Ovis aries: one gene and its partner. The protein of the gene in region 2 purifies or fractionates together with the protein of the main gene of each other region. This does not show direct contact. Links are inferred from orthologs where the notes say so. Each region holds a gene or a part of one and is shown on either strand. Other genes may lie near its edges.

The links. The genes of interacting proteins can lie anywhere in the genome.
Region 1: the proteins of ATP2A2 (region 2) and CANX purify together in Homo sapiens (co-immunoprecipitation; 3 studies listed by BioGRID and IntAct, with this or other methods). This does not show direct contact. The link is inferred for Ovis aries from reciprocal best matches to the Homo sapiens genes ATP2A2 and CANX.

What each region holds. Positions count from the first base shown.
Region 1 is NC_056058.1:1,408,560-1,412,208, forward strand, and holds the start of CANX (calnexin), read right to left. Parts: upstream 2,827-3,649; 5' UTR 2,645-2,826; intron 1-2,644. UniProt on the Homo sapiens protein: Calcium-binding protein that interacts with newly synthesized monoglucosylated glycoproteins in the endoplasmic reticulum. It may act in assisting protein assembly and/or in the retention within the ER of unassembled protein subunits.
Region 2 is NC_056070.1:54,247,178-54,250,852, forward strand, and holds the start of ATP2A2 (sarcoplasmic/endoplasmic reticulum calcium ATPase 2), read left to right. Parts: upstream 1-751; 5' UTR 752-1,376; coding exon 1,377-1,494; intron 1,495-2,190; coding exon 2,191-2,208; intron 2,209-2,294; coding exon 2,295-2,377; exon of another isoform or gene 2,378-3,109; intron 3,110-3,675.

The DNA of each region.
Region 1 (3,649 bases), on a different chromosome or scaffold from region 2:
TAGACTGAAAAGGAACCACTTCAAAAGAATTTGACTCCAGTCACAGATAACCATTTTACTACTACTTTTCATTCCTCTGGATTACATCTAGCCACAACATCAAAGCACTTAATAGTGGGAGGGAAGTACAGAAAACTCAAAGGGGTCCTTACTGTAAATGCTCATCCACTAAAAAAATAGATGTACACTGCCTAGTTCAGTTCTGAATTTTGCTTTTCATTGACAGGAACATTAAAATGTATCTTCCCATAGCACTTTCCTTTTTTGTATAAACTAAGTGGATTTAAAACGTGGATTCCCAAAACATTACTGAAGATTCTAAGTTACTTAAAAAAATTAAATTCTCCAAATAATTTTCACAGTTAAGCTTAATTTAAAAATCATCTGTTATAGTTAACAAAGCACTCAGCCTGCACTTTTCTGACAAAGTTCTACTGTTATAGTTAACAAAGCACTCTGACAAAGTTCTACAGTGAGCTGTACAGGTTGTAACTATGTGCAGGCACTGTTATTATTTCCTAGGAGTTGTTATGAGCTGCCAATTCTTCTACTTGCATAGTTCATTACTCCATTCAAAGCAGTTTCCTGTTCACCATCTTATCTGTCTCTCCTAAAAGATCCCTAATGGTAAGGTATCCTGGGCACTGCGTTTTAAAGATATGGAAACTAATGTTGTTCATTATGCTAGTTACCTCGCTGGGCCTGGAATTCAGGCTCCAGCCTGCATTTCTGCTTACCAACTCTCACTTCATCCCCTTAAGCTATCTCTCAGGGCAAAGTGAACTCTGTAACTGAAAGGATGCAAGAGCATGATTGCCAAAACTGCAGCAACAACCTCTGTCAAAACGTTTACCCCTCAAGGTCCTTGGAAGATAATGTGCTAGTTGAAACTGTTGAGTTAAGATAGTCAGGTAGGGAGATACTGACACTCATTATCAGACAGGTCAGGAAATGCGCTTGCTGCGCCGCACATTTACTCCAGTACACCGTTCATTCTGGCCATCTCATAATCCAGTTCCCTGACTTGTTTGCTTGGGGTGCTGCACAGAACTCCCACACAATTCTCTACCTCTGCTCTTACTACAGCAAATGGACAACTCCGCAGTGATTCTATTCATGGCACTTAAACATGGCTGTTAAAAGACTGACATACAGAATGATCTTAAAGATCAATACAGTTCCTCCCTTTTAAAAAAAACCCGAAACAAAACAAATCCTCCCGCCCACTAATTCTTATTTAAAAAACTAAGCAAAGTGTTCCATTTCCTAACTCAGAGGTAAAGAAACCTAACTGTGGCTCACCTTTGTCCCCCCAAGCTTTTAATATTCAGCTCAGTTTAACTTCCTCCAGCCAGCATTCACTTGTGTCATACCCAGCAGTTAATCCACTAAGTCCAGTTTCTTCCTCCTGTATCCATTAAGGTGACTTCAGGTCCCAGAACTTAACCAACTCAAAAAGGAGGATGTTGATGTAGGGGACCAACATCACTCAGGCCTTAATTTATTTAAATCATCTATCAAGTAGTCAAAGTCTCTCCTGTCCTTTTTTATACACAGTTTAGTGGCTCAGAGGATAAAGCGTCTGCCTGCAATGCAGGAGACTCAGGTTCAATCCCTGGGTTGGGAAGATCCCCTGGAGAAGGAAATGGCAACTCACTCCAGTATTCTTGCCTGGAGAATCCCATGAACAGAGGAGCCTGAGCAGGCTACAGTCCCCGGGGTCGCAAAGAGTCGGACACGACTGAGTGACTTCACTTCACTTTAGTTCTAACCCCACCACCATCAGATTTTATATCCATTATTTGGAGAGAAGTAGGGTACAGAGAAGTAAACTGCCTAAGTTCATATAGCAACAAACGACAGATTAACGACCTGAACCAGGGCCTTAGCCTTAACCATCAAAACTGCCTCAACTAAAACTCCAACGTGATCATAAAATTAAGCCCATGACCTTGAGCCAATCATTTCAGAGCTCTGGGCCTCAAGTTTCCTCCACTATAAAATGACTTGCCCAGAGAGCTTTCGGGTGCTTTCCTGCCAGTCTTTGTGAATTTACAAACGAGATTACTTTCTCCTCATCCATGAAGAGATATAATTAAATGTCAGGGCCTAAGTTTTCCAGCCCCTGCGTGTTCTAGCACATTCTCCATACTCCACTCTTCACTCTGTGATTTTAACTTTCAAATACTGAACCTCTAATGCTAAATATTCTCTCTCGGCCCACTATCAACTCTTCCCCACTACAAGGGACATCGACTAGGCCCGATCCTATTCCAGACCTTTACCCAGTTACTCCGGGCACTTCCCAGCTTCACAGGTAGCCAGCAATAGGCTTAAGAAAGCCCTAGAAGCAAAGCCAGAAGGAGAAGTTAGCTTTCTCAGAGGTCAAAGGAGGTTCTAAGGCACCTGCCACGCCTCCCGACCCCGGTGGCGCGGCCTGGGCCTGGCTCCCTGACTCAAGCGGCCCAGGTCCCGGCCTCACACCACACGGCCGGAGCGCCAGACTGGGCCTGAGCTTTCGAAACCCAGCCGGACCCCACGGCCCCGGCCACGCCCGGCTCTCCAGGCCCCCGGTGGCGGCGCCGCGCATCCAGGCCCCCAAGAGTCCTCGCAGGCCCGAACACAAGCAGGCCTCCCGTCTCACCTCGAGCCTCAGCGGGACGGCCGGTGGCGCCCTCGCCTGCTCCCACCCGCACAACCGGCCCCGCGCCGCAGAGAACACAGCCGCCGAGGCAGCGCAGCAGCTGAAGCCGCACGACCGTCACGTGCCGCAGCACCAAGAGGCCTTGACTCCCGCTGCCGCCGCGCGAGCTAGCCCCAGAGCACGAAGCCCGGCCCTGCGCCCGCCCCTCGCTCCTGAGTAGCTACAGCTAGCGCCAAGGCCAGCGCCCCCGCGCCAGCTTCTGAATTCAATTGGTCAGTGCGACCATCGCTCTGAGGACTTTCCCTTACGCCCCCTAGGGCTATTCTTCGTGGAGCGTGGGGATTGGCTGGGAGTGAGGCAGGAAGTGGCCGTTGGTTGGGCGGTACGGAAGGGGGCGGGCTGGGGCGGAAAGGAATACTCCCGGGCGCGCGCGCCCTGTGGCGGGACCAGCCCTTCAGGAGTTCCCGCGCGCGGTTGCGCTGGTTCCTTAGTGGGCGCGCTTCCAAGAGTTGCATCTCGCTCTGTGTCTGTGGTTCGCACACCTTCTGTGCCTAGACCCGGGCCTCGGAGTCTGGCACTCCGTTCCCTTCGTTGGAGGTCAGATGTCAGCTGGCAAGGAGGGATGGGAAGTCTGGTGAACCATCGGGAAGGGCCTTGCCCCCGATGCAGCGAGTGCCCAGCGCCAACGGCTCCCTCGCTCCGGCCTAAAGTCGACTGCACTGCGCTGTGTAAGCAGGCGCCGCGGTTCCTGCAGTGTCATTGCTCTAGGCCCAGCAGCCTGAGGCCACCTTGTTACCCAAGCTCAAATACAGTCCGCAGTACTACGCTGCAGGTTTATTTCAGTTTTCAATTTGTGATGTTTTCCTCAGTAAAATTATACAGAAAGGGCACAGAGACACACTGACAATATTGAGAGAAAAAGATGGTGCGATGGAAAGATTTCAAACACACCGCAAGTTTTGTAATTCACTTTGAGCATATTTTCAGTTTTGAATATGCTGAGAA
Region 2 (3,675 bases):
TATGTATCAAAAGCTGTGTGGGGTATTAAGGATAAAATAAAACCTCCTTCTTCCTCTCCCCAGAGTGGGATTCCCTCTGAGCACAGAAGGCGCTGGGGTAGGGCTGGTTATTTGCATGCGGTGGAGCTCTCGGCAAGGGGTGTGGGATGCGGTGTTCCCGAAGCGACAGATGAGGGATTTTGGCCGCGTGGGATGTGAACTGCGGAATTCCTCTCCTCCGTTCCTGAGAGGGGCTCTGAAAGATATAAGGTTAGGGACGCAGAGCGCGACCCTGGGGGCGGAGGGCGAGGGAGCGAGCCAAGGACACCAACCCTAGCACGCTTCCGGAAGCTCTCCGCGGACCGAGTTCATAGGTTCTTCGGCCTCGCCTTCCCGGTCACCCACCCCCAACCCGAGACCGATTCTGAAGGGCAGGCAGTTCCCTAGGGGCAGCGAGTGCAGCAAGCGCACCGTGAGCCCTCCACCCTCCTGGCTTCTACGTCTGCAGGTGGTTGAGCCGGGTAGGAATCGTGATCCTCAAGAGCCAAAAAGAGGCCGTGAGCTCGCGCTCCGCCGAAGAGACGGCCGCAGGCTGCAGTGCGCGGGCGCGGCGCGCTCAGGCCTCGATCCGGGTTCCTGGGGGCGGTGCGCGGGAGGGGGCGGGGCTTGCGCGGCCGCGTGGGCGCCAGTCGCGCGGGAGGGAGGGCTCCGGAGGGAGGGGGCGGGGCCGCGCCGCCCGCGCCGCGCTGGGCCCGCTTGGCCAATGAGCGGCGTCCACATGCCGCGGCGGCGGCGAGAGGGGAGGCAGCCGCGGATAAATGCTATTAGAGCAGCCGCCGCGGAGCCGTCCCCGACGCCACCTCCTTCTCCTCAGCCGCAGTTTCCTCAGCTACTGTCGGGGGTGCAGAGCTGAGGGGACTAGGCGAGCGCTCCGCGCACCATCCCGCCGGCTCGCCTCCCTCGCTCCGTTCCGCTCTCAAGGGTCGGCAGAGCACCCCCTCCTCCGGCCCGGGCGGGGCTGAGAATCACCACTGGAGAACGGGGAGGGGGCTTCGGGGCCGCGGCCTGCACTCCCGGCGGGCGGTTGAGGGTGAAGGAGGCCCTCCCTTCTGACGAGGGGAGGGAGGGTCAGGACCCCCCCCCCCCCGCCCACCGTCCAGCTGTGCCCGGGGCGGGCACCGGCGAGGGCCGGACAGCGAGAGGGGCGGTTGTCTGGGGGAGGGGGCGCGGGGTGATTCAGCGCCCAACGAGGCGGAAGCGGCCGGAGGAGGAGAAGGAGGGGGAGAGACCAGTCCGCGCCTGGGCGCCCGGGGTGGCACGAGCCCGCGGCCCGAGTGCTAGGCGGAGACGAAGAGGCCGCGGGGACTGGAGGCGAGGCCGGCCGGGCCCCCGCAGCCATGGAGAACGCGCACACAAAGACGGTGGAGGAAGTGCTGGGCCACTTCGGCGTCAACGAGAGCACCGGCCTGAGCCTGGAGCAGGTCAAGAAGCTCAAGGAGAGATGGGGCTCCAACGGTAGGTACCCGGCGCCGGGGCTGCAGGGGCCCCGCGAGGCTCGGCGCGGGCCCGAGAGCCAGGAAAGATGGCTGACCGGGCTCCACCTCGTGGGTCTCGGCTCCGCGCCCGCCGAGGGCTGCAAGCGACGGGTTGAGCCCGCGCGCTGGCCCCGCAGAAGAGGGGTTGCAGGCGGGGGGCACCGAGGTCGGGTCTGCGCCTCGTCTCGACATCCGCGTGGCTCCAGCCCTTGACCTTCTACCGCACGCAGCTAGCTCGGCGGCTCTTTACCAGCAGCAGCTGGCCCCGGCAGAGGGAGGGATGAGCCTCCTGCATCTGGGTTGAGCCCTGCGAGACATTTTCTCGTCCCTAGCCGGTTTATGAGGCGTCGCTGTAGTTGAGAATGCCTCTGACCATTCTACTACCCAAAGTTACACATCTGGCAGAAGTGATGACAGGGCTGAAATGACTCCTTGTTTCAGAAACCCTGCTTAGGTATTGATGAGATTTCACGTTTCAGAGTAGATCAGTACAGCAAGTATTGCATATTTTCTTGGGGTAGCATTTTGATATGGTTTCTATTAAATACTGTTGAATGTTCCTACATCTAGGTGCATCTTTCAAAGACAGTGATAATTTAGTAATTCTTTTTGGAAAGAGTGCTAAATTTTTTTTTCTTTTCCTTCTCTTGACACGTTGCCTGATGAATTTCTACAGAGTTACCGGCTGAAGAAGGTAAGTAATCTTAACATGTTTTTTCTGCCCCCTCGCCATGCTGATCTTAAGATGACATTTACAACAAATATGTTTCTTTCTAACAGGAAAAACCTTGCTGGAACTTGTGATTGAGCAGTTTGAAGACTTACTAGTTAGAATTTTATTGTTGGCAGCATGTATATCTTTTGTAAGTATAAAGAAATTTCTTTTCTTTCCCCAAAGTTGAGACTATACCTTAGATGAAAAAGCAGGAAATATCTAGCTATTGAGTGAGAACATTTTATTTGGAGATTTAAGCTGTGTTTTCTTGTTTTTGGTTTTGGGTTTTTGGTTGTTTTTTTTAAAAATACCCTAGGTATTTGAAAATTATAAATAGAACACGCCATTCCTGTACAGAAAATAAATGAATGCCTGACATTTGCAGTCCATTTAGAAATTGTTGCCAAATGTGGCAGGTAGGGTCTTTATAAATTCTTGTGGTTTATCAGTTTTTAATATCTAAAAGTTGCTTATTGGAAGGCTTTTTCTGTTTTGGGTTCTTCCGTTGTGTAAGATCATACTAAGATGATGATGGGCTCTTTGTAGTCTGTAAATAGAACTTACAAAAGGAATATTCCAGTTGCTCTCCCTTCCTGGTAATGGCAAGGTGACAGTTGTTTCTGACAGTGACAAGAATGATGACGGCAGTGATGGCACCACTGTTGACCAAATTTGGTCACTGACCTTTAGGGTAGTATATTTATCTAAATTGGACCCCCGTCTTGAGTGGCTCCTAGATTGAGAGAATAAGGTTTAGTACAATTGGTTCTAGATCTTAAAAGAAAAAAAAACATTGTTTTTTCATGTTCTGTGTGTGCTTACCGGCTTGAGTCCTGTATGGTTGCTAAGAAACTGGTGAAATGCAAACAGCAGAAGAAAGGTGATGGGCATTGAAAAGGATAATTCTAGATTCTTACAGTTTTTTTTTTCTGTTCAGCATTAACGTTTTATTGCATTTTTTTTCTCATGAGCAGTGGACCTCCAAGTTTTCCTAAAAATGGTCATGAATAGGACACAGATGTTCTTAATCCTAACAAGAGATGCCTTTTGTTCTTTAAAGTACAGTATTTTATTCTTATAAAAACCAGGATGAGAAATGTGCTAACTTTTTTCAGGCTTTGCAAACTTGACACAGCTACAGGGTTTCTTTTTTGTGTGTTTGCAAAAGATGCATGCAAGCCTCAGGGATCTACCTCAGTCTTTATTGACAACCTTACTCCAGAGGGCTATTTTGAGAACTAAATACATGAAGCAATGAGCATTTGTTTACTTTAGGTGAAGGAAAAAAATTGGCAAGAGGTGAGCTTTTTTGAAATTTCTCAAATTCTGCCATGAGACTGCCATATATTATGCCATGTTAGCCAAGTGATGTGTAGCCATTAATAATTAATTCCTCACAAATGTTTTCTATGGTTTTCATTGAAGAAAATTAAGAGAGTATCATAG